Linked DNA regions of Drosophila melanogaster. The protein of the gene in region 3 interacts with the protein of the main gene of each other region in a pairwise test. Each region holds a gene or a part of one and is shown on either strand. Other genes may lie near its edges. The genes, in order: tou, Sec24AB, CG6843 and Bdp1.

Region 1 (7,425 bases), on a different chromosome or scaffold from region 3:
GCAATTGCAATAAAAACACAAACGAAGCCAGCGCACACAGTAGTAAATTCAATTTTGTGTTATCCATCGATGATTCCCCAGAGAATCGGAAAGAGACAGAGGTATAGAGATAATTCCCCCCCTCCACCCCTCCACCAGAATCACATGCAACCAACGAACTTCTGGCGTGCGATTTTTTACTTTACCCACTTTTAGCTGCCACTTTGAATTGTGTTTGCAATGGGGGGAAAGGGGGGAGACCCCAAAATTCCAGCAGCAAAACAAATAAAATGTGTGCGCATTTCAAAATGCAATTGTTCATCAGCCCAAACCCCCCACCCCCTCCTTACTAAACTACCCGAAAATCAACTGACAAAATGTAAAGCCCTTTTCAGATATTTGCGTTCTATTGCTTTGCATTCGCTGGGTATTATCACTATGGTCTCAAACGTATTAATTCCAGCTTATAAAAATACTTTTTTATTTTCCATTCTTTTTTTTTGGGTTTAGTTCATTAAAAGAATGTCAAAATATAACTTATGTATTCAACATAACTTTTCTTATTTTTTGCGAAAGAGTATTCACGTTTCTGCGCTTTCAAAAAATATATATGCGCCTATGTGCATATAACCCATCTAAAATATTTGAGTTGCCTAAGCCCATGTTGCTGATTTTTTGGGAGCAACTACTGTTTGCTATGTAGGTTTTTGTGTGCTTTTGGAATCCGAATTTCAGGAAGTCCTCCTTCCGAAGTCCTTTCGTTTATCTCTGGCATTTAAGCAGAGTGACTGTGGCTACTGTTTGCTCCTCCTTTAGGCCTTCTTCTCGCCTTTCTTCGCCTCCTTAACACTTCTCACCTTTTAGGTTCGAATCCTGTTTGATTTTGGCCAGCCTCACATTCCCCATTTCCTTGCCATCGAAAAAACTCAAGGTGCAACCAGAAATCTGTTGACTGCACAGGAAAAAAACATCTACCAATGTTGTTTATAAATTATATTATAATTACATACTTTCTTTCTTCTAGTTATAATAAATGGTATTCACATATTTATTGTACTTAAATTTCTGTGATTGAAAGTCTTCACTGTTTATTTCCCATTTGGCCACGATAACTAAACGCAGTTACGTAGTTAGCATTTTTCTCAGTGTGCAACTTTTAGTTTTGAAACAATTGCCCATGCAAACCTTCTGCCTCTCCTCCCTCTTTCCTGCTTTTCGTTGCTATGCGAAAGGAGAGAAGGCAGAGCTCGAGCATGTTGACGAGTGTGAGAGGTCGCAGCATTTGTCGCCATTTATTTACACGATTAGAAATCGATTTTGTGCGTTCCCATATAGAATTCCATATGAAATGACAGCCGAAACGAACAAATATACAAACACAGACATACAGAAAAATGGGCGGTTGTGGGCGCAAGGGGGGACTGGGGGTTGGGGTGACATGTAAGGTCCCTCCTGTATGTGCCGTTATAATGATTTATGTTAAGCTTATTGCTCACACACACACACAGCCAGAAGTCGAGGGTGTGTGCGAAAGAGACGGAACCAAATCGAAATCGATTTGCGGGCAGAGTAAAAGCAGAGCGAAGTAGAAGAAGCAGCGGCAGCAGCAGCCGGAATCAGCCAACAGTGGCGACATCTGGCGGCTGGCACCTCTTTTAATTTTTTGGCCAAAAAGGGAATCGGAAATGCAAAGAGGAAATTGCAATCAAACAAATGAAGAAGTCCTGAATAGACGCAGTTAATGTTTTGATTAGCTAAGTTAATTGATTTGCAAGCAAACAAAACAATTGCATTCATGACTTTAATGTTAACTTTGGCTATTAATAATCTTTTAGCATAAATAGATCAATCTAACATAAACTTTAAACAGTTCTTACATATATGTACATGTATGTATGTATGTTCTCTTAATTACTAATATATTTTATATAAACTATGCTCGCGATAAGTTGCATTTATTTTGAGTTAAACCGGCATATATGTATTTCCAATTTAGTAAGTGAACTGTATTTCTTAAAATCCTAAGCTTGTCATTATAGAAATAATTGTAGTTTTTCCCGAATCAAATGCTATATTTGAAACAAAAGACAAAAAACCAGCGGCATGTGTGTTTGTAAAACAAACAACGCAAAGAAGTGAAAAGAGGCAAAATAGCAGCCAAACCAAATTGATTAACAACTAAAAGTTCAACGCCGGCAATTAACATGCGAAGGGGAAATTGCGAAATATGCCAAGAAAGCTAAGGAATAGCAGTATTTGGGTAGGGAAGGAGGTGAAAAATTCACTCAAAAGAAGGAAGGACGAAGGAGCAGGGCCGAGGGAAAAGTGTACAAAACAAAATTCAAAGCCCAATCCACTTGCAGTCTTGTTTTTTTCTCCTTATTTTTTCTCTATGTTGTGTACCCGTATTTCTGTCGAGCGTATGTACGTGACTGTGTGTGCGTGTTTGTGTGCTCGCGAACTCTAGAACGAAACTAGCCTGAAAGCCCCTCATCCTCCACCTTCTGCAGCTGCCCCTTCCCCACACGCTTTACAATTTATATACAACTCCAAGAGCAAAAGCAAAAGCCATTCGTGCGCAAATCTCAAATAAAAGCGCGCAGAACCAGCAACAACAAATAATAGCAGCACCAGCAACAAAAACAACAAGCGACGCCGACTTCTCTGCCGCTGATGAATTGTATTTGTGTGAACCCAACACACACACACACGCATAACACATGCGGACAGGGCGGGCTAAAAAAAAATAAAATAAAAATTAAACTACAATATGAGCGCAAAAAGGAAAATAAAAGAAAAAATTGAAGCAGAGGAATCGGTTTCGAGAGGTGAGTTGACTCCTCGAGGTGTCTTTGCCTCTGCCGCCGTCGCTGTCGTGTTTCGCTGCCCCCTGCATTTGTCACTGTATTCGTGCGAGTACAGTAAAGATTGGCTACTCAAAATTCCCCGGTTTTAGTTTATGGCTATATGATTAGTATGTGAAATTTAAAAGCTCGTAAATTAAAATATTTATTTTTTTTTGTCATCAAGAGTTCTTTAACCTGAATCTTTCATTTAAAATAAATGTATTCATCTTGATCTCTAGCACTAATTGCTTAAATATACATAAATCGCTATAGAGTACTTATCAGTAATCGAATCAATAGAAATTGTGTTTTTTTTAATAAATAAAAAAATAGTTTTAATAAATAAAAAAAAGATTGTAATAGTTCAATTTACACGGTTATCACTGCAAACTCAAAAGATTAGTGGAATTATAAACATTTCATTTTCTTACAAACTGCTAAAAATGGTAATTATTTGGTGCAAAAAGTAAGTATTTTACGTAGATTCTTGTTTAAGTTGTCACTGAAAAGGAATATATTAATTTCAACTATCCATGCTGTCCGCCCAAACAAAGTCCCACTGTATGTTGTATTTGCTCTGGCCAGCAGAGTATGCTCGCATGCGTGTGTGTGTGTTTGTTGGCCGCGTCGTGTGCCACTGCTTGTGGCAATTTCCAGAGTTCGCCGTTCGCCGCCTTCATTGCTCACGCTCACTGTCACCGCCGAAATACAGCAAGAACAAGAACAAGAGCAAGAACAACAAAGGCACCACCAACAACAACTACAACATCACAGGGGCAGCAAAAGCATGTGGAACGAAATGAAATGGAATGAAGGACTGAAATCGGCGACGCTACTTCTTTCGCTTCTTCCTCTTTTTTATCCGCTTCGGTTTTCTGCCTATTTTATTTGTTTGCGGTTGAAATTGGGAAGGGGAGTGGGGAGGGCTGATAAAAGGGGGCGGGGGTGTTGTATTGAACTCAACGGGAATATTTTAAGGGTGAAATCATTTAATTTTTCATCAGTGAACTTTATATTTATACACTTTGTATTACATATAAATGAGTTTGATTTAGCTTTAAATTTTAGCTCACCTTTTTTGTTTGTTTAAACTGCTTATCGCTGATTGACTTCTCGTCTTTTTGCTGCCCATTCATTTGTCACCCACTCACACAAGCACAAACACACTTAATTTTTAGCAATTTCTCGAACTTCTTTGCTCTTGATATTTCTTCCTTTTTTTTGCACACTCACACCAATGGAATAATTTTCGCCGCGGGCGTTTTTCCTTTATATTATCCGCCTTTTCCTTAGCGATGATTTTCACACGAGTGTCACTGTTCCACCCGCACACGCGCAAATTTCCAGCTATTCGCGAGGTTTGCAAGTTCACTTCAACTTTCTATATTATTTTTTAAACATCAAAATCGATTAATAAGACACGTATGTGCGCGCCGCTTAAGAATCTATCATTATTGTTGTTTAATTTGCTCGCAGATGGATTAGATTTAAATTGGGGTTTATCTTTTCGACGTCCGAACGCTTCGATAGAGAAACCGATACTCTTTTATGAATCTACTCTCTTCGATTTTCGCTGCCTGCAGTGCTGCCGCTGCACGAGTGTGAGTGCATGTTAGTCGCTGGCAGAGCTATGTTAACTAACAGTGGCGAGAGCGTGGCGGCGAAACAAGTGGACATGAAACCAAATCTTGCTGTGTAGTTGTGGGCACAAACAAACAAACACGCACACTTGCACACGGTTCTATCTATTAATCATTTAATAGTCATCCAAATTATTAGGAATTCTGCGCTTGTTTAGACAAAACCTTTAACCACATTTTGATTGACCCGATATTGACTGAGTACTCTAAGTAAGCTAGCTGCTTTACGTTGAAAGTACAGTACAGGCTATTTTACCACCTGTCCACACACACACACGCTAACACACGTTCATGAACGAAGAGACCGCATACTCACACACTCACACCGCTTTTGGCCGTCTTCCTGCGCCGCTTAGCAAATTGTCAATTCTTTATCAATTCGCCCAGTTCAACCACTTAAACGAAATGCAAATCCAATTCCCAGTGCAGCGGAAAAGGCGGACAGGTGGTAAACTCAACGGATTAAGACATTTCACGCTGATTTCCCAGAATGCTGGATTATTTGTGATGGCTTAGGGGGATTTTAAGAAAATTGTTCTACTTAAAAATATGTTGAACAATTGCGTCAATCAGTCTATTTAGTTTTTTTTTTGGCTAATATTTGCGTGAATTATTAGAAATATAAAATATAAAAACTAGTTGTCAAATTGTGTCCCGGAAAATAATCCACAAATGTGTTTTACCTTTTGGAACCCTCAAGACGAGATTAAACACATGCGAATTATCAATAACAAGTATTCACTTTAATCGTAAAGGCAATAATAAACTTAACTACCAGCTTGGCTTAGAAGTTAAATGTCAGCGGATGAACAGCGAAGTAGCCCTTGCTCTTGGCCACTTGCTTGGAGAGTCGCACCAGGTTGTTGTCGTTGTTCACAAAATGACCGCCATAGATCTCCGTGCAGAGGGTGCGGACGCGATCCCTGCCCTCCGAGCATATCGCTGTGGCCGTGAGCAGTTCATGATCCGCCAGCGGCAGTCCAATGCAATACGATCGGGATGCCCTCGCCACGCTGGCCCACATGGCATAGATAAGGGTGCCCACCTCCGCCAGGCGCTGCATTTCACTTTGACGCTCCACCACCGCGTTGCCGTGCTTGGTGAACATCAGCTCCACGGCCATTTGGAGACGCGCCACCGACAGTTCAATGCACTGGGCAGCCGCCTCAAGGGAGGGATGCACGTGCTCCGAAAGCTGCATCTTGGTCTTGGGATTGTCGATGCTGTTGTTGTCCAGGAATTTACCAAAAATGTGACCAGGATTGAAGAGTGGATTTCTGGACTTTCGCACGCCCGTATTCATGGCTTGCTGAAAAAAATTTTTGTTTTTAAGTACCATTACACAAGTATCAAATGGACAAGAAATTTACCCCCGCGTGCTGCAATCCGGTGAGGGCAATGAACATGCCCAAGGTGTCCAGGGATTCACCTTGCGTGCACAGCTGCGCTGCATCTCGTAGTCCCAGCTCCGTGGTCTCACCGCTGAGCAGACTCTTGGGTCCCACGACTCCCAGATTCTGGGAGGCAATGGCGTACACCTGTCGCAGGGTAAAGTACTTTGTTATGGCACTCTCCAGAGTCACATCCTGGGCACGGAACTCATCCAGCAACCCGGCGGTCAGGTAGAGCATGCTCTCCATCGCGTAAACGGAGCACATCGCGCGCGACATATGGATGCGGGTGAGCTCCAGGTCTCTATAATTGAGTAAATATATTTTTATATAAAATATAGCTATAGGAAATCAAGAGTACTCACTGCAGTTGTACTCCGCACTGAGTGGTGTTCACAGTGTACTGGGCCAATTCGTTTAGCAGTTTCTTGGCCAGCGATAGTCCCACCAAGCTGCCCCTCAAGCGGGAGGATCGCACCAGCTGCTCCGAATAGCGGTTGCCATCGTGTGGTAGGCCCACCACCTGATCCTCTCCCAACTTAACGCCTTCGAAGTGCACACGCCTAATTTCCGCTTTCCGGCAACCGAATGTGGCGTGCTTTTCGCCCAGGCGCACTCCTTCCTGCTGGGAATCAACCAGAAAGATGGTGGTGCCACGTCCCAAAACTCCCGGAACATTCGGCTGTTGGGTTTGGGCCAGAACCAGGAAAAGCTGCCGCTCGCCGGGTGTGCAGATCACGAATGATTTTTCGCCATTGAGCTGCCACTTTCCGTATTCGGGAAACAACTCTGCCGTGGTGTTAAAGTAATCCTCCTCGGGTGGAGATATCTCATATATAGCCTCGGTACCTATCAGTTTACCAGTGGCCAAGTCCTGGAGATACCTCTGCTGTTGCAACGGAGTTCCAACCTCTTTCAGAAGATCCACGACCACGCGATGCGTTTGCAGGCCCAGGGTTACATTGATATCCGTTGAATCCGGCTCACTGGCCATTAGACTGGCACTCCAGCCATAGCCTTTGCCCTCGTAATCTGTGGACACATTTAGCCCATAGAGTCCCAGCTGGCGGAGGGTCTCCGGTGAGGTCTCCTCCGTTTCACGTGGCTCCACAAAGTAGTTCTTCAGCGGCAGCAGGGAATTCTCCAGCTGGGCCATCTCATCCCGTGGAATCACCTCCGGATAGGCCAGCAGCTCCTTGTCCACCACTCCGATGAAGAAGTTTTTGGCCAGCGGCTCTCTGGTTGGTAGTTTTCGCTGCTGCTCCGGGGACTCCTCTACGGATTCCGCTCTTCCACCCTCCGTGGTCGCCGCATCCTGGTGCTGTGAGTCCAAGCTGCTGGACGTGGCCTTGGTGCTTCTTCCCCGAGTCAGAAGTTTTCCATTTCGGCTGTAAGTCAAGAGCCGCGAGGCGCCGGAAAACAAATTGGGCCGCATATTTACTAAGAAATTAGGTAAGCCCCGATAGGTTCGCACAAACTTATCGATAGCGATTACAAGTGAGACCAGCTGCAGATGGAATAAAATAAAGCACAACCTACCAGCGGTACTTTTATAAAATACCCTATGGC
Region 2 (10,409 bases), on a different chromosome or scaffold from region 3:
TTATTATACACATACATACATATATAAATATGTTCATATGTATGTACATAAAAATATTTATTGTTCACGTTTCTTCTTTTCAGATTTGGAAGCGGTTTAAATATGATCGCACATTTTTCGGCTAAGTTGCAAGCCTTATATTCGTTTTACTATAAATACTCCTAAATCGATTACATAATGCTGGGTAGGTTTAAAAAGAAAAGAATATTATGCTAACTGTACCACCAGAATTGAACCAATTTCATATCAAAAGAAAAGTGTGTGTGCTGTTGTTTTAGACTGCGCCCTTTTTTCGAGAACTTGTCGAGCCAGCGCTGATCGATATCTGCCCTAACTCACACTTCCCACAATAGCTAATTTTTGTTATAGCTAAAAGAGGCTAAACATGCAACACTGATATGACACTTCGCTCTCTCCTGTTTTCACAATGAGTATGAGGAGAACGAAAAGAACAGTTGATTTCTTGTAACCGAATGGAACACTTGTGACTTTTAAGTGCGCATCGAATAGACTGGATGTTGAATGAAAAGAAAGACGTGTAAATAACGGAGTAAAAGAACGAGAGCGAGGAACCGTAATGCGAGTAGTTCATATGTTGATGAATTGAAAATATAGAGAGTTTCCATTCGTATATTCTTAAGCTAACATAAAAATAAACAAGTTGCATGTGAAATAAATAGATAATGGAAACGGCGTTGGCTGAAGTGCAACTTTCCTGTCTGCTGTGCGAGCAGACTTTTGATGCCACTGAGAAGCTGGACGAACACCTCCCCACCCACTTTCCGCAGCCTGTGAGCACTGGTCAAACATGCGATATATGCGGGCGCACGATGCGATCCTCGCTGGAACTGCACCAGCACTATAAAAGATACCATGAAGCCCATGTGCCCAACACAGAGGGACACTTTCAATGCCAGCTCTGCGACAAGGTATTCCTCCTCCAGGATCATCTCAAGGTACACGTGAAGATTGAGCACGCGACCGATGGCTACCAACCAGATGAGAAGTCCTTAGATTGGCAGCACTACTCTCCCAGAAGTCTAGACACAACAAACGATTATAAGCTGGATCCCATCTTGTGTCCTCCACCAAAGAGGAAGTATCCGCCGCGCTCCCCCTTCTTCAATCCGTAAGTCCAGATACCCAATTTATATTTGTCCATTATTAAAGTTGATATTTTTGCAGGAATCTCTGGCTAGGCGCTGACAACTGTTTTATGTAGAGGAACATAGAACCAGGATATGTCTTGCGAAGGGCTGACCGATTTATTGAGTCTTATGCGCCATCATCTATCCATTGTAAATGATTGTTAATTTAATTAAGGTCTTTCCCAAAACTAAATTGGGATATATTGGGAACAACAGATGTGCCTGTACATATGAAAATAAAACGCATTGCCTTATGATTTAATTAAAATTTATTTCGCTTTATATCTTGATGTACTCGTATGTGTATAAAGTATGGTACAGTATTTGTATATGGTTTTTCGATTAGTTAGCCCACTCAAAGAACGACAACTGCGCCACCTGAGGTACAGGGATGGGGTCTCTTTATTGATACAGTATAATATTCCTTCTAAGCTTAAGACATTCACTGCCTAGCAGTCCAATGAATGCAATACACAATACCAAATCCGTACATACGTTTGAAATAAGTTCGCTAACTACAGTGCAACAAAACGCCTTTCCTTACACTTATAAATAAATATAGATTTCTCTGGATTCCGGAAAATAAATACTACTGAAAACAGCAAACAATTGGGGTAAGCGATAACAATTTGTGGGGCTGAGAAGTTTGCAGAATGTTTGAAGCAGTTGGAACGAACAAAAATCGAGCTAAAGCATAATGTACAACAGTTTCGTTGGTTTATTGCATAGTTTCTATAATAAATAACGGAGCCATCCACTTCTTCGGGAGCTCTACTGACTGGTTAGCTGAACTTTTGACTAATGTTCGCCCTAAACGAACTGGCAACGATATCTTAGTTTCTGTTGTGACAAGTTGGCTCTTTCGCATTTACTATGATCTTCAATTATTTTATTTTATTTTTAGTGCAACAAATCAACAAATAAATAAATACATGCACTTTAAAATTACCTAAGCCGAGAGAGTGGGTAGGGGATGGGTGGTTAAGGTGTATCAAGTGTATGTCTGTCCCGAACTGGTCTCCATTGTTTCGCACCAGTGTCACCTGCATTCGCTTCGTGCTTCTAGTCACCAGAGTCTGAGTTTTTAGGTTCTTAGAAACTCGTATTTATGCTGCATACAATAGTGGTAGGATATCCTGCTTATATACTATTTAACCTGAGCCCGAATGTGTTGCAAAAATTCATAGTATGACAAACTAGATTCACTGCGATCGTCGGTTAATCTCTCGGTGAACTGGCCCTTGGCCGTGCTCGTGTCCCTTTAATTTAAGATAAAATAATTAGCAAGGTATTATGAATATTTTAATAGTGGTCCGACTTACCTAATTATCTGCACCAGCGCCGAGTAGGGCTTATCGTAGTTGAGTCGCAAAATAAAACGCTTCAGCACATCGTTCTCGTTGCTCACAACATTTGGCAATCCATATACATAATCACCCAGTTCTGCGGTGGAGCTGATGCCTGAAATTAGAAACAGATTAGTAACACAAATTGGTTGGGTTTTAAGATCATACCCAGAACAGCTTCCAAAACATCGGGCGGCACATTAAGGCCGACATAGATCATTATCAGCGTTCCGCAGTCCATCAGAAATATTGACCGAGAGTCCAAGCTGAAGTTAAAGCGTTCGTTATCGAAGGTCAAAAATAAATCAACTCTACTCACTGTTCCGCGGACAATTGAAGACGCGGCAGCTCCGGCAACGGTTCATCCTCGTCCTCGTCGTCATCCTGGTTCGAACTAATGTTCGAGTTGCGGGCGTGGTAGATCAACGCATCGATCTTGTACAGCTCCGGGTACACGTACTTCATTAGCTGGTCCAGCGGTAGCGTTTTCATGCAATCCATGGCGTAGACCCGATCATCCAGTCGTGTGCTAGTTCCCACACGGAAAGCGGGCTAGTGGAAAACCGAAATAAGCTGTGATAACTAAGATCATATGCAAAAAACTCACGTGCTTAAGCAGGGCCAAGATGTAGAGCGGGAGCAACGCCAGGCTGCGCGGCGCTATCAGCTGACCCGACTGTCCCGATGGCAGATTTTGTGCTATCTTGAAGGCATTGTACACGTCGATCGTAGCGTTTATGAATGCATCGCGGGCGTCCGACAAGTTGGAGGCGACCGACCGGTCAACCGCCATTTTCGACAGCAGCCCGATAATAGCTTCCGTGTCGGCTGAATGCATTACCTCTGGGAGCGAAGCGGTAACCGGCAAACACACGGTGTGCACACGGATTCGGCGCTCTCCTTCGCTGTTCGTATAGAGCAGCGCAGCTTGGAAGCAAATCGTTTTCGCGTCCGTGAGGCTCTCCTCGTAGGAGATCTGCATGCCATATCCAGCATCCGGATTCACGTTTGGCAACGAGAGCAGGTCCGTGGAGCGCACGAAGAAGTTTCCATGGAATGTATGCACCTGCAAGCCACGAGTGCAGCGGATTCGCATTACCGCCTCAAATCCAATTTTCCTGGTAAGATAGCGCTTGAAACACGAGCGGAACGATTCTACCATGTGTGGCTTTGTCTTCTGGTAGAGCGGGAAGTGGTGTACACAGCCGCCGCTATGTTTGCTAATGCCAGCTATAGGGAAATTGAAACTCCAATAAGTTAACGGTGCTCTATTACTCGTAAGAGAACTTAATGCAAAAAGGCAGTTTGAATTTACATTACTAAGAGTCACTTACAAATGGTTGCCATGTCGCTGTACTGCTGGTTCATCAGGAAGAGGTCACAAGCTATTTGATAGCCGGAGCACTCTAGGGCAAAGCGCTTGTAGAAGTCGGTTGCCGGGTTAAGGTGGGCCACGTCCTTTGCCGAGCGGTTGTTGGGATCTTCGCGCGGCTCCAAGGCTCCGGGTCCCTTGTTGGGAAGGCACGATTGAAAGACGGTTATCCGTCCGCCGGACGCTTGCTGTATACAGTATTCACGATGATTAAGGTTCCTCTTTAATTTTGAATAGCTCAACTCACCATTAGCTTGAAAGCAACCTGCAGAGCAGCACCCAAGGCGGAACCCGGATCGTGGGTGTGGGCAAACCGCTTAGGCAGTTGCTTTAATAGATCACGCACCAGTTCCTTGCACTCCTTTAGGTTTACCAGCAAACTATCAGGACGTGGCAGGAAGGGGTCCTCGATGTCCAGCAGCGTCATTTCGTGCGGCTGGTTGAGCCCCTCGGCCATGCTGTAGAAGTGCACGAAGCTGTCGAAGCAAATGAATCCCACCTGGGTCCTCGCATCACCGGGCATCTCGTCTAAGTGCCGGTTGAGTACGGCGCATGCGGCCTCCAGATAACCACTCTGCTGCGCGATTATCGAGACATCGAAGAGAAACAGGTACATGGCCGGCTGTGGCGGCCGCAACATGTACTCCGAAGGAGCAATAAACTCTATGGTGCTAGAGCGTACCTCGGGCCTTCGGGTTACGTCGCCGTATGTCTTTGTGGCCGGATCAAATTGAAAGTCATCTGGCACTGCACGAAGAAAGAAACATTGGATTACTAAATCCATTATATGCTGGGAACTCTTTTCAATTACATTCGTTGACTCGATAACACAGATTGCACTTCCACATCTTGCTGTCCACGAAGTAAACGAAGGGATTTATGTAAGTGCGGCACAGCCGGCAACGCACAATGTTGATGCACTGAATAACAGGGAGGCTCTGTGTGAGGAATTCCAAGTTAAAGTCTTTTATATCAAATTATTTTCAATAAAATTCTTACATTGACATCACGGAAGGGATGTATCACAATGCCCAGAGGCAGACGTGACTTCTGGAGCAGAGAGTTGCTCTCGGGAATCTTGGTCAGCGTACAGCGCATAATGCTCGGGCTACAGTTTATGGACTCGTGAAACTGGTTGTGCAAAACCACTTTTGGCGGAGGCAACGTTGCCGGCGTTAAGATATGCCGATTCTGCATAAGGTCGATAGTATCCTGTCCCCACAATCTGCTGAATCCCTGCTGAGCCACGTTTAGTGGAGCAGTGGTTCCATAAGGTCCCCCGGGTGCAGTCTGGGGTGCTTGCTGAGGATGTTGTCCGTAAGCCTGAGGAGGCGCCTGTGCCTGATACTGCAGTGGAGCTCCAGTCGGTTGCGTTCCGAACATTCCCGGCGGCGGTGGCTGCACTGCAGACTGAGGAGGTGGTGGCTGTTGCTGTGGTCCTGGTTGATAAACCTGGGAGTATGGATACGTCTGTGGTGTCTGCTGGGCTGGCGGCATCATGGGCTGGGCTCCCGGCGCCGCTACATTTGGTAAGCTCGGCGGCCATACCGCTCCTACTCTTGGTGGCGGCGGTGCATTCTGTAGATTGTTGTTTTGCTGGCTCTGCTGCTCGGGGTTAGTTGGTGGGGGTACTCCGTATGGGATTCGTTGCCCCGCTGGTGTTGGTCTACCGGCCATCGAGGCGCTTCCGAACATTTTGGCCGGATTTGGAGCCAAATTGGGGGGCTTTTGTCCACTAAACGGCGTCGCCATGGCATTGGGAACTAGTGCAGCGGCCACTCCGCTGGCCGCCAACAGACTGTTGGCGTCGTTGAACTGCGGTGGACCCGTCTGGGCCGAGGCCACTCCCCTGCCATCCTTTTGTGTTACTGTGGGTGCGTACTGTTGCTGGGTTTGGGGTTGTGGCAAAATGCTGGTACCTCCATTTGCTCGAGTGGTATTCAAGTTAAGATTTTCCAGATTGCTCGTCAAGTTGGCCAGAGATTGGTGCGTCGGTTGGGGCGAAGGACGCAGTCCCGACGCCAGGGGCGGATTGTTCAACGCTGCAGCGATTGGTCCTTGAGCATATTGAGGGGCAGCTCCTACTGGCCTTGGGGATGCAGTGCGCGAAGAGTTCGCACTGGACGCCCCATTGCTGCCGTTCGTAAGGGGTGGTCCGTTGGCGGCGGGCGGACGCAGATGGGGCGGCAGCGTGCTGGGCGGCAGTTGCTGCAGAGGTGTAGCTGCTCCTGACGTGGGCGGCAAGAACTGGTTCGTAATACCACTGTTGAACTGCTGCGGCGGTGGCACATTACCTGGCGCTCCTGCTCCCGGAAAAGCTGCTGCAGGAGGTGGTTGCTGGAACTGTTGTGGCTGCTTCTGTGGTATATACTGCTGACCAGGTGGAGGACCTGGCTGCTGCTGGACGCTTCCTTGCACACCATTCACAAAATTGTTTCCGTTCAGTGGCATAGGGGCGTGGGCGGGAGGCACGAAGTTCGGATTGTAAGTCGACATGCTGCTAATTCATAGGTTTGTGGTCTGAAAGATGAAGAATTACATTTTGTTTAGTTGCTATCTTATCACTAGCGAAGGTTGCGTTGCTGCCGACATGAAACAGGGAATTATCTTATCGTTCAATGTTAAAAAGCGCGTAACATGAAACAATGTGCGGCTGATAAAAGTTGTAAAGTTTTAAAGCGGGATGCTTTTCCCCGCTTACAGACAGTTTAGAATTTGCAGTGATCGAATGGAATGCGAAATTCTGCGTTATTGGAGCTTTATCACAAACTTTTAAGCTAGACTGGCTGCCTAGGTAAATGTCTTGATTCAGTGTTTACAGAACTGTGTCTACGTCAACAGTAAGTCGGAAATAGGGTGATAATTTCATATCATATTTTGCTGTTTAAACAGCTTCGACAGCAGGTCGTTATGGGTTATTATGTGATGTACAACGTGTAAGTGTGCGTGCCTCAAGCACTTGACCTCGCCATCAATGATCGCAGAAGGTGGGTCGGTTAAATTGGTGACCCAGATGCAGTGGAAGCAATCAGGAAGAGAAAGGATTTGTCTCCGGAACAAAGCAAATTTTTGATGACGTGCCTATTGGCGAAGTCAACCCGCCACGCCCACCACCCACTCAAAGAAATTGGGGCAATCAAGGCATATGTAGTGCCCATAACACGGTTACCAATCACTTATCACCTTCCCGAGCTTCAGTTTTCATTGGCATGAAGTTCCTCGGCCAGCACTTGCACTTTGTAGTTGCCTCTTCTTCTTGCGCCCTTGATTGGCGATTTTGCTGCGGACTATGAATTAGCTTTTCCGCCTTTCGTTGTGAGGAAAGGGCGGATGCAGCTGTAAAAACCACTGGTTGTACTCTTTGTTCTGGTCTTTTGTGAAATCCTTGGCTGGATTTTTCTCCGCGAACGAAAATTAAACGATTTTCGCACTTCCCTACGCTCTCTCCACTCCCAAAACTTCCTTCCGCACTAGTTTCTTTCTTACACGATTTCAAGCGCTCCTCGCGTGCTCCGGATGGATGCGAACACGTCCTATATTGGCAGGCGGATTCTTTGGACTTGGCGTCGTACGCTGCTATGCACAATTAACTTAAATGCAAACTTTTTGCATTTTCCGGAGAACAAAAAATTTTGAGGCCACGTCAATAGTGTGACCGTTGGTTTTAAAAAAGAGATGACAGTGCTCTGGGTCGCCTATCGATTGCAAATAAAATGTTATCGATACCAATGGTAACATTATTTTTGTAACAATTCAAATTTAAAACTTAACGCAATGTTTATTAAGTGAAGACAAGCAATGTATATTATATATAACTCTGTTAATGATATGAGCTTAAATGTTCGTAAGCCCGAAATCCAAAATCCATTAAAACTGCTTAAAGAACAAATCGCTTTATTTGCAATATTTGTATCTGCTTGGGAGTAGCTCAATTTCTCAATTAACACGTTGGTTAAAAAGAAAATCGCAAAAATATATACAAGTTTCCCCGGGCTTGGATATAAGTTCCAATTAATGCCATTGGGATTACAATTCTTTTATTCTACGGGGTAACTAGTTCGTTAAATATTACTTTAAATCAATTTCGAAGCGTATTTACTTTATTCGTTTCATTTTGCGTTAACTTTGCGTGAGAGTAGTCGGTAGATTTGCTGTGTGGGTGGTGTTGCTTCCTGGCTCGTAAGTTATAAAGTTATAAATTAAATTTAATGTCTATTATTCAACGTGTCTAGGAGTTCGGTTTTCAATTGGGTTCTATTGCAGTAAGGTGTAAAGGTGTGTCACCAGCGGACTCTTGGTAAAGCTTTATTGTTATTATTGTGACAAGTGGAATTCGAAACATAATACTAAAGGTAATCGTATTTGATTTATAAGCTATGCGACTGGAAAATCATTGTGCACCGTGTGTTCTATGTCCGTGTGTCTGTCCTGTGGTCTTGGAAAGAAGCGAGGGTGCAGTATCTGTCGGATACTAGCGTGTCGGTATTGTATTTCGTCTATAGCAGAGTCTTTTATTTCAAAAATAGAATCTCTATTATCCTTAAGTAACTATCATTTTGTAATCTACAACTTTTGATATATCCCATTATGTATTGGATTTCTTTCTTTGTTGCTAGTTAGTAAATGTTAGTAATGTAAAAGGTATTGAATAGGTGTCATTGTGTTGCAGTTTACTGCGATTGCCTTTGAAACACACTAGTACTTAGTAGTAAATAATAATCGTTAATTCTGTATAGAAACTGTGAGTGTTTGATTTTTCTGTCTCCGCTGAGCTGTCGAGCTTGACTCGCGTTCCAACCTAATGAGCAGAGCTTTACTCCTTTCTTTTTCTCTGTGTATATTATTTACAATTAATAACCAGACCCTGGAGCCTCCATCATGGATCTCCTTCTGCCAGTTCAGTTGTTGCTCTAACTTTTCCTGCATTCGTTACGTTGTATCGTCAGTGTTGAGAGGTTTGCGCACTTGTGGAATTAAACATATAGTTGAGGCTCGTTCTTGATATGATCCATATATATAGACGTTTTTGGTGTTGTTGCTCTCGTTGTCAGTCGGAGGCATTATCTCTTGGCCTCCTTCTCCTGCAGATACATGCGCTGACTCAGCGGCTTGGCGTAGATCCAGTTGTCGCCCACGGGCTTAAAGTGCTGTGAACGAATATTATCTGTTAACTGTTTTACCCTATATCGGGATGACGTACCTTGTGCTCCCAGGCCAGATCGTATTCCTTGCGCACCTTGGCTTGATCACGCTGCTGTTGCTCCACAACGAATTTGGCAGTTGTAGCGCGCTCGATGTCATTGAACCTGTGGAAGAGCAACGAACAAAGAGATTACATTTATCATGACTCGCAATTGGGGGTCAGGAATTAATTGGTATGCTGTTTACTTGAGTCCCGCTGTCACTTCCTTCCAAACGCGTCGCGATTCGTACTCATCCTGCTCAACGATTGGTCGAACTTGTTTCTTAAATATGGGTATGCGATTTACGTCGACGAATACTTCGGTTTTCTAGAAAATTCAAGAGATTCATTCAGATTCACTATGTGGTCAACTGATTGGGATTGGGTGTAATATTAAACACACAGCAATCATATATAAGTACAGATAGCAACAATTTGAATACAACGTTGGACAATCAGGCATAGGATTAATTTGTGGGTTCGATTTTCTAGACAAACAAAGTAAACACACAGAGGAAATGCTCCCGAGCTATTTAAGAGAAAAGCAGAAGAATCGTGGATAGTAAGTAGAGGTCTAGTTGGGGTGTGAAGGGTGGATGTGGCTGCCAACTCGTGGGGTTGTTTGTTGCAGCGTTTTGGCGCAGTATGCGGAGGAAAAAGTACAAGTAAAGGATCAACATTTACAGAAACAATATATAATAGTACACTACAAACATAAACCAAACATATTTTGGACGACTTACGTTTTTATCATGCCACTTGGCCTCCATCAAACCACTCCACTCGCCCGTAATAGAGACGAAAGGCTTCTTTTCGCTCGGCGCATAGACCTATGGATTATCCGAATTAATAAAAGAAAACAAATGTACACATTCAGAGCTAGTCACCTCTGCCGAGACCCTGTTCCGTTTGCCGCCATAGAATGGCTTGGTGAGGAACTCCACGTTGGCATAGTATCCAGACTGTGGACACTTGATCTCCACCGAACCGCCGAGCTCAATCCAAGGCACCGTAAGAATAGACCTTGGTAATGGAAATAGTCTTCAGTTGTTTGTAACCGGAAATACCACAGACACGTTCTCACCTGCCGTAGCCGTTGGGGAAGGTCACTATGTACTCCTCGCTGCGATCCACCAGGGTCACAACACCCTCACCAATGTTATGAACTCCAATGGAGAGTCCCAAGAACTTCGACTTGGTCCATACATGGGCCGCAAATGTTATTTTTTTATTATAATGCTCCGCATAGAAGGCAGAAACTGAAACAAATAAATGCGTAAGTGATAGAGGTAATAAAGTCTTGTTTTTTTCTTTGTATTACTTGGCGGATGGTGAGACACTTGCTCAGCTAAAAAGGTGAG
Region 3 (5,871 bases):
ACTTCTACTATCAAAATAAAAATGTGCTTATCTGGCAAGCGGCCTCCTCCGCGTTTCCCTCAACTGAATAAACTTTATCAGCAAAAAAGGAAAAAAAAAAGAACAAAACTCGAAAAATACGAATACACACATAGTAGTGCAGCAAGACTTCAGCTGGTTAGCACAATGGAAAATTAATAAATAACAAGAGCATCATTAAAATGCGATGCTTGGTGTTACGTAACACCAAGCAAGTTCTAAACACCATAAAAATATCTAAAAATTCGACATGGAGAAAAAACACGCCTATCAAATGGGGACTACAACTCCGTGTACAGTACCATTAACACTATGATCTATTTAGATCCAAAGGGTATACTCACCAGTCTCCTTCATCATTTTCTCATCGTCGGTGAGAAAGGTGAGGGGTGGGGGGAGACCAGTTGCCGAGGACATCGCAGCACTTTGCTGACGTGCAGCGTTAGCCAGCTAAAAAGTTAATTAATAAAGAAAAAGGAATTAGTTGTAGGCATATATGTATGTATAAAGGTGTCGGTTAGGGGGGCGTGGCCAACTCACCATGCGCACGGGCAATTTCTTTAGGCTGTTCATCATCTTGAATGAAGTGGAAGAATTGATTTAATCAAGAGGCCAAACTGGACTTTTTTGAATTTTGGATCTGATCCCCAGAGACACCACAACGTTAAAAGTGGGCTGCTCACACGCGACTGAATTTCCATTCTCCACATATGTGGGGATCGTGGACCATAGGAAACCTGTTGCTGTTGGCGAAGCGCCATGTTAGTTAACAGCGGGCTGTATTTCGTTGAGCTTTTCGGTAACATTCTGTTAGTGCGGATGATCAACAGATGTTACTGAACTTTCTTCAACGCTGGTAAAAATATGAATTCAATCACTGAATTGCTATTGATTCTATTAAAACTATTTGTCTATATTTTTTATATTACTTACATATCTACTTTATTAATGGCCTTTCGTTAGATCCTTGATCTGTATTTCATTTTTTACAAAGGTATTAAGAACCGTTATTAAATTATAACTATCAGTATGTTGACATGTGAAAAATATGCTTTTAAAACGTAATAAAAACGTTTAACGAAAATTTAAAATTATTTTTATTTTTCACGAGTTGGGAAAAATTTAAACTGGTTTCCAATTGGAAAATATTGAATTGTAACAGTGAAAACAAGACCACGATTTTAGCAAAGACACACTCCCTTGAAGTGTTGCAAAGCACATGCTTTGAATTTGACAGTTCACGACTTAGAGATGACAGTGTTATCGATACTAGCTGAATTAAATTAAACAGTTACAGGAAGACATAAACAAAACAGTAAATATTTAAACAATTTCATAGGAAAAAAATAAGCGTAGAAGAAGGAAAATGAGCTATCAAAACCATTTATAAACGTAGAATCCAATGCTCTTCACCCCTGACAAGTACAACCGATAACATCGTTAACTATCGTTACGAAATACCACCTCCAGCACTGCCTCTTTGCCATCCCTAACCGCGACCCATCTGTCAAATTTCTTTCTTTTCGTTGATTTTTCGACGGTGAGTGCGTTTTCGTGATTAATTTCGTTTTTGGCCCGGCATCCCCACATATTATGCCCCATAAACAATGAAATCGAGCAGAGAAAACAACGCACGACTCGTTCGTGCAATTATTGTGAATTTCGGAGAGCCCGCCAATAAAGCAGTGCCTATTTTTTGTTTACAGCCCGCACAAGCAAGATGAAACAGAACCCGTTCGTGTCGTCGTCGCGCAGGAAGAACCGCAAGCGTCACTTCCAGGCTCCCTCCCACATTCGCAGGCGCCTCATGTCCGCTCCCCTCTCCAAGGAGCTGCGCCAGAAGTACAATGTGCGTTCCATGCCCATCCGCCGCGACGATGAGGTCCAGGTGATCCGCGGCCACTTCAAGGGCAACCAGGTGGGCAAGGTGGTCCAGGCCTACCGCAAAAAGTTCGTCGTCTACGTCGAGAAGATCCAGCGCGAGAACGCCAACGGCACCAACGTCTACGTGGGCATCCATCCCAGCAAGGTGCTGATCGTCAAGCTGAAGCTCGACAAGGACCGCAAGGCCATCCTGGAGCGTCGCGGCAAGGGTCGTCTGGCCGCTCTCGGCAAGGATAAGGGCAAGTACACCGAGGAGACCGCCGCCCAGCCCATGGAGACCGCGTAAATCGCCGGCTAAAACTCTGCTCTGGACAACTGGGACGTCGCTGTTTACTGTTTTTACCGTAACGCTTAGTGTAAAAAACAAAACATCTGAAAAAAATCGCGTGTGAAAACGGCGCCATTCTTTACAATAAAGGAAAGTTGATTTTCACAAATGGATCTGTTGGCTTATTTCCCTGAATGAAGTTTTAGATAAATGTGCCGGAAAACCGACGTAGCTGAGAAGTTTTGGAGTAGTTTAAAAAGAGACGCTCTGCTATTTGTTTTGCAAAGATTATTGATGTTTGATTACTGCCCGATTAGATTCTGTTTCAGATATAACTTATACTGCCATCTTCTCCATATTTTTGTTACTCTAAAAGTTAAAACCTTTAATTGACTTGCATTAGCTTGAAATAGAGTTTTCATTGAATTTGGACTTATAAAATGCTGTATTTGGCATCCATCCATTCAAATTAATAGTCAAATGATTGATTTAAGTTAAGCTTGTAACCAAAAATCCAAAAATAGCAGATTTAATACGTAATGGCTACTTACATGTATAATCGATCGTGTATTCCTACTATACAATCTTGATAAGCATCAACAGCAAACTTTCAAAGCTATTTAACTTTCCCAAAGAGTTTCATTTTGTAGGTAGAATAAACAGAACAGACCGATTTGAAAAACAGCCAATATTATTAGGATAACTAAAGAAACCAATATACGTCGGATTTCCCCTATTTATATACCCACTTTGGCAATAACGAATTAAAGGTATAAACGAATAAAGGTATTGTTGGGGATAAACTGATAGGTTAAGGAAGAGTAAGAAACGAGTATTTTTTTTGATAAGAAACAAAGTGAAATGCTTTATTTCACGATTATCTGTGTCGTTAATGGAAAAAGGCACATAGTTTACACATGTACATGAATTTGGGATATGTATGTTATTTTCATTATCTCAGAATAATATGAGATTGATTTTGTCATTTGCTCATCTGAACTGCGAGCAATACTTGTTTCACAGCACATGTTAATTTTAACAATTTGGCCGTGGAATTGTTTTTTTTGGTTATAATAACGAGTATAAGCCCCGATAAAATGTTTTGGTTTTTGTTCTTTGGCAGTGGGAGTAATTCTTGATGAACACGAACTACTGGCGCCTTGAGTATGGCCTCCTGTGCTCGTAGGGAGTGGGACGAAGATCCGCGCGAGCCTTGGCCTTCCGCGGCTTCTTCTCCTCCTCGTAATCCTCGCCAAAGTGACGACGTTTTTCCTGCTCGATGAAAGCCCTTCGCTGGGCGGGAAACAACCCATTGGGCTCTCTCACTATGTTGGCCCTGGAACAGTAGACCTGAGGATCGTAATCGGGCACACTCTCGTCGTCATCCCAGTTCTCCTCGGACTCGATCTTCGCGTGTCTGGTGTCTTCGCTGAGGACAGCAGGAGCGCTGGTCTGATAGTGTACTATAATGTTTCGATCCTCGCACGATTGGGTGTGTTGCTACGTATGCAGAAAGCTGGGCTTTAATAGGACATACAAGGTAACTACTACGTATATTCTGTACTCACAAAGAACTGGGGCTCTGGTATCAAATGGGAACTATTGAAGGGACAAACCATAAGTTCCACCGTGTCTTTGTAGATCACACGGCATTTTAAGATGTGCTGCTGGAGCTTCTTGCGCAGCATTTTGTGCTCCTTGTTGTACGGGCAATAAACCATATCGGATTCGTCGTAGTTATTCATCATGAAACAAAACCTAAGGTTTCGAGTTGCTTTTAAAATGTATTCGTAAAATACAAACAGTCCGGCAACGCTTTATCTACTTGTGTTACTATACCGATAATGAAATGCGATACTTTTCTTAGCCTATCGATAAGCGCAGTCAAAGTGCCCTGATATCGCAGCTGGAAAGTATTTATAAAAGTTGTATATTGGTTATTTGTTTGCAATTTGGTAGCGAAATTGCACAGCAGCAAGATGGGCAAGGGCTTCAACAACTACATGTGCAAGAAATTCTTCCACCCCGCCTCCAGGGACAACTTGAAAAGGGTAAGTGGCTCCGGGCTCCTGATGAAATATGTTCTTCCCCAGCAAAACGCCTAAAACTATAGGGATTACCTTCTGCAGGTCTGGATGGCGGAGCAGCAGGCGGAGGCGTACAAAAAGAAGCAGGAGGAGCTACGCAACCAGTATGAAAAGGAGCAGAATTTGCACGAGAACAAGGCAATGCTCAGCAAGGACAGCAAGGATAAGCTGAGCGTCAATTTCATGTACGAGCCACCGCCAGGAGTGCGAAAGGAGCGCGAAAAAGATGACAACGAGCCGGAGTACAAGTTCGAGTGGCAGCGAAAGTACAACGCTCCTAGAGAGTCGTACTGCAAGGGCGACACCGAGATCAGGGACCAGCCCTTCGGCATCCAGGTGAGAAATGTGCGTTGTCTCAAGTGCCACAAGTGGGGCCACATCAACACGGACAAGGAGTGCACCATGTACAGCATTTCCATGAGCGAGGCACGGAAACTGCACGCAGAAACAGAGGCCAGCGACATCATGGCCAAAAACGTGCTGGAGGAACAGATGAAGGAGGATGGCCTCATGATGAAGCGATCGGCACAGGAGCTGCAGAGCATAAGGGCCATTCAACAGCAACATCAACTGGTGCCCAGCGATGGCGAGAAGGACGCTCATGCCGATGACCAAAATCCCGAACTAGTTTTTCTCAAATCCCTGTCCAAGAAACAAAAGCTAAAGCTGTTGAAGAAACTGGAGAAGATTGAACGAATGAAGCGCAAAGGCGAGGGCATCAAGAAGCCCACAAAAAGGAAATCAAAAAAGGAAAGGCACGAAAAAGATAGCAAGAAAAAGAAATCCAAGAAGGACAAATCGAGCAGAAAAGACAAAAAGGGCTCAGTTAGCAATAGCTCAGACTCCTCTTCATCGTCGGACAGCAGCGACTCCGAGGACAATCACAAAAGCAATCACAGGGACGACAAAAGAAATGGACATCAAAGGACTAGGGACTCGGATCATAGCTACCAACGGCGGAGCAATGAAAATAGGCATCGGAGAGATCGATCCCGCTCCAGAGATCGCTCGCGATCGCTTAGCAGAGACCGAAGAAGGGAGAGGGAGCGCAGAGATCGGTCCAGGCGGTAGAATTAGTTTTGTAAAACCCACCAATAAATTTTTATCAATTTGTATCGTCATATTTAAAATTCTAATTTAATTTATATTTCATTTACACGATGAAGTATGGTGCTTTTTCGTTTTTGAGGAACCAACTAGTTTTTAAAATCATTCATTAGCTTTGCTATAATTATTTATTTTGCCAGCTTGTGATATACATATCTTAAAAAATTTATTGGGTATTAAGTGGTGCTTTTAAATTGCTCTAGATTCGGGCGAGTTGAGCAGTTGTCGAGGATCCGGCGGAGACGCAAAGTTCGGCGCCGTGGTTGCTTCCACCCTCCCGGGAAATGCTCTTCACGTGGATGTGGCTCTTGAGCATTGCAGCACGAAGAACAAGCATGCGGGTATGACGCTGGTACTGCTTGCCCATGATCAAAGCCCGCTCAAAGGTGCTGTTCCTTTGATCCGCCTCCTTGGCGAACAGGATCTTATTGTGGGAGTCAATACGCGCCTGGATCTGTCCGTCTAATATCAACTGCATCACCTCGTTCTCCAGATCGCCCACCGACG
Region 4 (7,362 bases), on a different chromosome or scaffold from region 3:
TTTTGTAAGCTTTGTTACTGCTAGTTCATGAATCACGGTATTTTTTTTTCCATTCTTTGGACTTACCTTAGGAAAATATACATGTACTTCTCGCAAAGTTTGTAACCTAAAATGTAATGCGTTTATAATCTGGGAATTGATCTGCATAACCAATTGTATACACTATTATTGTAAATTGGCAATGAATTATTTTGGCAGAAGGAAGATCGACTGAATTCCAGTACAACACATTTATAATAGCACATAATGTGAGTTCCAATAGATTTACTTTTAAAGACAAAGATTGGATGTGATTTGATTACGGTACTCTAAGATTAGTGGTGTCCCAGGTCCTTGGGGTCGGGCTTGCCGTACTGCTTCTCCCACCAGGTCACAAACTCCTTCTTGCGCTGCTCCCGCTTGGCAAAGTACTCGGGGTACTGGGCCTTCTCCAGGGGATGCCAGTAGTCCAGGACCCAGTCGGGCGGAATCACCTCTCGTTCGAAAGCACAGCCACCGGCACTGTTGGCAACTACAACGATAACACACGTTAGATACACAGACATATGACCATACGTTCAATTTGTTTACAGTTTCGGGGCTGGAAATGCCTTGTCTCGAAAAGCTCCCTTTGTCCACAGGCTAGGAGGCGGATGCCCTCGCCCAGATCTTTGGAGCGGTTTTCGTCGAAGCGAGCACGCAGCTGCACAGCGCGGTAGCGGTAGACATTGCTGATGGGCATTAAGAAACAACCAAGATGCACTTGCTCATTATATAATATTTGGGAATTCTGCGCCGAGTGCACTCACCGTCGGTCGTACCACGACTCTAAGTTGCGCAGTGCTCGCTTGTACAGGCTGCACACCTGGCGCTTGTGCGAGACGATTGCCAAGGGAACTTGGGCCATCGTTTTTTACTATATTGGTTAAATTGTATTAATTTGCTACCGCAGCCGAGGCAACAACAACAACAGCTGTCAAAAGTCCAGTGCTCTAAAGCCCTGCGCCTGAAAATATGTGTTGCGAAGCGAAAAATAATTTTAGAGAACGGCAACTCTGAAATGAATGGAAATTCAAAAAATATTTATATATTTGATTTAAATTTTCTATACAAAAGCAATGGCTATCTTTGCATTTTATACAAGCTTTTGTTATTGCAAGAAATCGAAATGATCCTGTCTAGAGTAGATACCTATAACCAAACACTTTTAATGCTTAAAAGCCTTCTTGCTACCCTATTTTATTTATAAAATAAGACTATTTTGACAAATCTGTTATAATTGTATATTAATTACAATTTTTTTTAGGAATAGTTAAAGAAACCAAGAAAGTCAGTCCCATTTTTGCATTTTTTGCAATTCCCTTTGAATTTGCGAGGAACAAGAAAGTAATTTTGTAAATACATCTAGCGAAATGCTTTAATAAATTATAACTGTTAACAAATACTCTTAAGATATAAATATAAAATGTCGTTAGTCCTCTGGCTGCATAACATTCATTATGCATTGAACAATATGCTCTGGTATTTTCAGAGGCGTTTCGCACAACTCGCCCGTTTTTTTGTCCAGCATGTAGATTTCGTTGAGCACACGATCCTCGTGCTCTGGATCCAAGGACGAGACGAGAGCCAGAGATCCTTCCGCAAGCTCGGCGAGAATTTGTTCGATATCCGGTTCGGTAGTGGACGGCGGAATGGGGTCATCCGGCGTTATAAGTTCATGATCTTGGTCTTCAATGAAGTTTATTAAATATGTCTCTGCCTTTCGATTGGGCGTCTCTGGGGCGGGTTCGACGTCGCTGACATAGCTTAGGGTACCATCATCCATATTGATAATAGTTTTATCACGTGGCTTGTTTACATCTACGTCATATTCCACCGGATCATCCATGAGGAGGCCATTGAGCTCAGCCTGCAGTTCTCCCCCCGTTGGCAAATGACTACTCGTTTGTTCGGTTTTGATCGTTTTTTCCTGCTTAATGGCCGCCACATCAGACAGGCTTTCCGTTGCCGCTGGAACTGAAACCTTGGGAGATCGTCGCTTAGCCTTTGGCTTACGTTTGGCCGGCGCACTTCCGTCGTTCTCATCGGTCTCCAACTCCTTTCGCCTTTTGGCCCAGGCGTGCTTGCCGAGCTTTGTACTCGTTACGTGCTCGTTTTCGTAGACAACATCACCATCGTTTAGTGCCCTTGAGGCCTTGCTTTGCTGCTGTACTCGGGAACGCTAAATATAATTAAAAAATGTAATGGTGATTACAGTCAGCTACAAATTATTTACCTTCTTAGGGTTTCCCGGAAGAGCTCGTGCGATTTCCCTCCACTTGCGATCATTTTCTTCCCTTTCGCGGTCCTCCTCTTCCAGTTGATCCTTGAGCTCCTGAATGTTGAAGGCCTTAGGATAGAGGAGTGCTTTGTTTATGAGCTGCCCATTGGTTCGCTCTTCCTTTTTGTACTTCAGCTTTAGATCCCGACGTGAACGTGTTGGAAACATTTGGCACATCAGCGAGAAGTCCGTCCCAATGATCTGCAGGCTGCGGTAGAAGCGGACGGTCTCATCGGAGGTCCAGTATGGCGTGCGCTTGTGGCGTTTATAGAATCCATTATCTCCTGCAAAGTATAAAATTCGTTAAGTATTCAACTTTTATGTATTAACTCTGCGGCGCACCCGTAGTCTCGTCCATTAGGATTAACGATGAGTTGGCTAGCACCTTGCGGGCCTCCACCTCGGCCGTGGTTTCGATCTCCAATGTTTTCTCATCAATGATCATCTCGCCATTGGCATCAAGCTTTAGCTGAGGCACTAACATAGCGGATGTGGACTCTCCCTTGGGTTCCAATAGTTGACTGACTGCGGGCTTGGAATCATCGCCACCAGACTCATCCTTGATGGTCGTCACCGACTGTTTGGGCACCATGGGATTGTTCTCCGGATTGTAGAAGATCATGTCCATCATCTTGAACGTGGACTTGTCGGGTACACCCTTATTGAAACGGGTTTCAAAGTCTCGCCGGGCATTTAACCGCTGTCCAATTTGACTTTGCGACCTATCGTCGCCCTTCCTCTGCTTGCTACCTCCTTCGGAATAGGTGGAACAGGTGGATTCGGTGCGAATGCGTCCCATGCCCGGACTAGCGGGCGGTAGGTATTTATAGGGGGACGGAGGCATAGGCGAGTGCACCTGCTGCTGCAAAGGAGTTCCCGATGAAGAACCGCTAAGATAGCGCTCTCGCCGCGTGGGCGTGGCTGGCGACTGATAGTCGCCCTCATAATCACTGGCCATGGGTGAGCCCACGAAGCTGTTGCGTCGCTGGCCAAATACCGGAGTGGGTCGCACACGCTGACGGGCTTGAGCCTTGCTGGGCGACATAGGGAAGCCATTGGTGGTCTTCTGCAAGTCCATCTGAATGACATTGTCCTCGAGGTCCGAGTGGAATACCTCTTCCAGCTGCCCAGCCGAGCTTGCGGGCATCTTGAAGGCGATTGCATCAGCCTCTAGTTCCAATTCCGCAGCAGGGGTCGATGCAACGGGCGGGGACTCAGCCTCTGCTTCCACCACCACCGCCTCCTCCTCCTCATCCTCCTTTTTCGCCGTTGGGAGCTCCTCCCTGCGTGGCTTGCGTTTGATAAGCGACAGGTTGGCCGGAGCCTTGATGCGCTGGCGCCGCATGGACATCCTGCCTGGGTACTCTTAGGCTTCTTCCAGGCTCAACCGCAGTTTCACACATCAAATCGAATCAAAATCTGCGCAACAAAAACAATGCGGCCGCAACCACGAGTTTCCCAAGTATAGTGTTGGCTAACGCCAAAGAGCATTCACAGTGTCCTGGCCATGTAAGAAAGTAGACAACCAATTTATTTAAAGTTTCAAAATGGCTATAAAAAACTTGCAGTACCCAAAAGATTTTTTAACAAATAAAAAAAAAACGAGATAACTGCGTTATTAGAAAGCATGTCAAGTAAATTTATTCGCAGTGTCAAAAATAAATTGGTATAAATTATGGCACACTTCACCAGATTCACGTCAAAAATTTGTACACAGTAAAAGTTTGGTTGAATTTAATATTATTTGTGTTTCAGTGTTGCAGAAAAGTGTGATCACTGATCGTAGCTGTCACCTCTCAGCAGGCGGTTTGCGATTTTCCAACACTGCTGCCTGTAACGGCACAACAACAGGAACAACAACAGCGGAATAACAACAGAAGCAGCAGACAAATTGCAAGTTGCACGTTTTTTCTAATCGGGCAAACATGATAAGTCCGCCCAGATCCTAACCAAGCTCTCGTGCAGTAACGCTTCCGGCAAACCTATCGGGTGTGTCCTGGCTAGAAGTACTAAATTCCCAAAGTTTTCTGGCGACAAATGTGCCAAGTGTGCGGGGGCACAGTAATAGCGAAGGAGCATTAAGAAGTCGCCGCACTTTTGAGTAGGTTGTTATGCAAGCGGGCGGCCGACGGACAAATTGAATTAGCCGGCATGCTGTTCAATCGATTTGTACTGGCCATCAAGAACCAGTCCCGAGAAACGCTGCGTGCCTGGAGCTACCAATGCGAGTCGATTTTCGCCCAGCGCTCGCGTCGCGTTCAGCAGTTGTTCAGTTTCTACCAGTCGGTGTATGGAACTCAGGGTCTGAAGCAGCTATGGCGCGCCTACTACCGCCGGGAGCTGCAGCCTCCGCTGCGGGGAATGGTGATGAGTGCAGTGGGTCTCGTCGGGCTGAATATCAAGCGAATGGGTAGCGATGGCTTCGATTGGAACAAGGAGCGCCTGGCCTTGTCCAACTTTGATCTGTGCCGCCGGGATATTGAGTTTATCAACGCCCTGCCCAACAATCAGCTGTGCGACCGCTGCCAGGCCAAGAAGATGAAATACTGCTACTGTCAGCTGGGCAACCAGCGCTGCAAAAAGGGCCAATCCCAGCCGTCCACCAGCAAAGAGGCGGAGACGGATCCGGACACCAGCATCAGCAATTGTCTGCGACCGTTGGATCTGGACGTGCGCAATGCACCGGCCGGAACGGTACGCATTCAGGCCCAGGACGACCAAAAATGGGAGCCGTACTTTAGCAAAAACGAATTCAGCATTTGGCGGCGGCAGGAGCGCTCCTCCTTATACTCATACAAGGTAAGAGGCCATCTAAAAGTTTTTTAGGGCTCACTTTTATGCCGCCTTTCCGTTTGCAGGTTTATGCTCGATTCGACGACATCACAGCGGACGACTTCCTCCACGTTCAAACGGATTTGGATTACCGTCGCCAGTGGGACGACACGGCCCTAAGACTTGAGCTCATCAGCGAGGATCCCGTCCCGGGCAGCAACTCGCATCTGATATACTGGGAGATGCAGTGGCCACGACTGTTCGCCAATCGCGACTACGTCTATTGTCGCCGCTACATAAAAGACGACAACAAGAAGCTGATATTCATTTGCAACCGCGGAGCCACGCACAACACCTATCCGGCGTTGTCTGGAAAAGTTCGCGTCACTGACTATTGGAGCCTGATGGTCATCAAGCCCTTTCGCGGTTTCCATGAGCCAGGCCTCCACTTTGTCCTCACGTACTTCGACGATCCGGGCATACCCATACCGCAGAATATTAAGTCCTGGGTTACTCAGAAACAAATGCCCGAGTTCCTCACCAAGATGTACGTGGCCACCAAGAACTACGCCTGCTCACGGGCCATCAAGATGAAGGACATGTTTCACGGATTCGCGCTTATCAATGACGAATATACGGCTAATGAGCAACGCGGCAGTTGGTTGGGCAGTTTGAGCCGGCGCAAGGTCAATAGTAAACCCGAAGCAGGTCGTTAACTCCTTTACCATTATATACCTGGCTGCTCCCGCTCCCATGAGACCTCCCTGCCCAACAGAGCCACGTATCAAACCATCCGAAAGCCCAGTTCCATCTTATGTTCATCCCTTCGATCGGCTTTAAAATTCAGGCGAGAGAAATCGAAACCATTGAACATCAGAGCAAGTGTGCAATAGGTGGAAGTTTTGCTCTTAACATGAGTGCCACTTTGATGAGAAACTTAAAAATAAATATATACCTATATTAGCTATATGGCTAAACCAAAATATTTTAAGTTTAGAAATTGTTTTAAACGCAAATAGAAATTATTGAAATTAATTGTACAATAAAAGAAACGAAAATAGACACCCAGAGACTGAAGTCTACAAAAAAGCAATGTCTTGCATAACTATTGATATTTTACGGCATTAATTTTCATTCATGCATAACATTATCTACACCAGATAGTAACACTCGTGCTTATCAAATAATTGGTCAAGCATTATCTTGAATTACCTTTTTTCAATTACAATTTCTCACCCGAACTTCGGCTATTCTTATCGTGCACTGTATACAAATCAAATTGGCTTAAGAGGATTACACTAATCTGATATGGTATTTAACATACTAATTTATATTTTTAATTAAATTTTATTATTTTATTATAGAGGGATAAGCGCAGTAAAAATGAAATTATACTATTAGTTATAACATAATTTATTAGTATGCTATATAGTTACAAAATGCGCATACATTCTATAAAATATTCGATAGTCTAGACGACATTCAAGCTGATTGTAAACTGAACGGAACGAATACAGTTTATGGTAATACAAAAAGTGAGATTGCAAAGTGTTGTGGGAGAAGCATCGTTATACTTTGCAACAGCGTATCACAGCTCTGTGCGGTCCGCTGAGGTAGGCGGGTTGTTCATATAGGCGATAAAGTCCTTGCTGGTGCGTCCGCCATTGTAATCCAGCTTGGTTTTGAGGTAAGAGAAGTACAGAATGGTGGGATATCCGCGTACGTTATACTTTGCGCAGAGCGCGGCAAGCTTTGTGCAGTCGATGGCGACAAACGCTATCCGAGGATCATCCTGTAAGGCCGTGGCAGCCGCTGTAAACTCCGGTTTTGTGTGCTTACAGTGTCCACACCCTGAAGACGGTTAGTCTTTAGTAGAGCTTTAAATATGTTTAACAATCAAGCGGCAAAACTTACAGGGTGCATAGAACATGACCAGCGCATGCTTTTTCCTCTTCAGCGTCGAACTGAAGTTGTCGTCATCCAGAAATAGGACTTCCTTGCTGTCCTCCTCCTCCTCCCAACTCTTTTCGGGTGGCGGAGGCGGTGGGGGCTCCTTGGGATCTCTCATAAATTCAACAATTTTCGATGCTTCGCGTACATTTACTTCAAACTTAAAGACGCCATTCGAGAAAAACTTAACAGTTGGATAGCCCTTGACTTTGTATTTCTCTGCGATTGACGGCTCCTTCGTTGCATCCAACGCAGCCAAAAGGCCGGGAATCTTTTTCTGCTTCATCTCCAGAGCGGCCTTTTCGTATTCCGGTTTCATGCGCTTACAGTGTCCGCACCAG

The links.
Region 1: the proteins of CG6843 (region 3) and tou interact in a two-hybrid assay, tested with the Drosophila melanogaster proteins (one large-scale study listed by BioGRID).
Region 2: the proteins of CG6843 (region 3) and Sec24AB interact in a two-hybrid assay, tested with the Drosophila melanogaster proteins (one large-scale study listed by BioGRID).
Region 4: the proteins of CG6843 (region 3) and Bdp1 interact in a two-hybrid assay, tested with the Drosophila melanogaster proteins (one large-scale study listed by BioGRID).

The regions. Positions count from the first base shown.
Region 1 is NT_033778.4:11,611,681-11,619,105, forward strand, and holds the start of tou (toutatis), read right to left. Parts: upstream 4,366-7,425; 5' UTR 3,899-4,365; intron 1-3,898. Other genes in the region: Egm (enigma), read right to left, coding at 5,250-5,774, 5,836-6,160, 6,222-7,291.
Region 2 is NT_033778.4:9,874,831-9,885,239, forward strand, and holds Sec24AB (secretory 24AB), read right to left. Parts: upstream 7,528-10,409; 5' UTR 7,353-7,527; exon of another isoform or gene 6,566-7,352; intron 6,387-6,565; 5' UTR 6,363-6,386; coding exon 4,866-6,362; intron 4,805-4,865; coding exon 4,678-4,804; intron 4,614-4,677; coding exon 4,114-4,613; intron 4,055-4,113; coding exon 3,829-4,054; intron 3,725-3,828; coding exon 3,102-3,724; intron 3,047-3,101; coding exon 2,814-3,046; intron 2,761-2,813; coding exon 2,663-2,760; intron 2,610-2,662; coding exon 2,471-2,609; intron 2,408-2,470; coding exon 2,296-2,407; 3' UTR 1,402-2,295; downstream 1-1,401. Other genes in the region: CG12744 (uncharacterized protein), read left to right, coding at 684-1,129, 1,186-1,222; CG1513 (uncharacterized protein), read right to left, coding at 8,927-9,013, 9,067-9,172, 9,255-9,376, 9,792-9,878, 9,936-10,071, 10,133-10,307, 10,370-10,409.
Region 3 is NT_037436.4:18,897,582-18,903,452, forward strand, and holds CG6843 (uncharacterized protein), read left to right. Parts: upstream 1-4,012; 5' UTR 4,013-4,149; coding exon 4,150-4,221; intron 4,222-4,299; coding exon 4,300-5,328; 3' UTR 5,329-5,371; downstream 5,372-5,871. Other genes in the region: CG3902 (uncharacterized protein), read right to left, coding at 363-468, 559-594; RpL26 (ribosomal protein L26), read left to right, coding at 1,739-2,188; arx (asterix), read right to left, coding at 3,320-3,670, 3,739-3,891; CSN1b (COP9 signalosome subunit 1b), read right to left, coding at 5,564-5,871.
Region 4 is NT_033779.5:13,370,054-13,377,415, forward strand, and holds Bdp1 (B double prime 1), read right to left. Parts: upstream 3,772-7,362; 5' UTR 3,651-3,771; coding exon 2,642-3,650; intron 2,584-2,641; coding exon 2,255-2,583; intron 2,201-2,254; coding exon 1,451-2,200; 3' UTR 1,374-1,450; downstream 1-1,373. Other genes in the region: ND-B22 (NADH dehydrogenase (ubiquinone) B22 subunit), read right to left, coding at 315-511, 571-710, 789-886; CG6565 (uncharacterized protein), read left to right, coding at 4,451-5,098, 5,158-5,787; CG9302 (uncharacterized protein), read right to left, coding at 6,660-6,922, 6,986-7,362.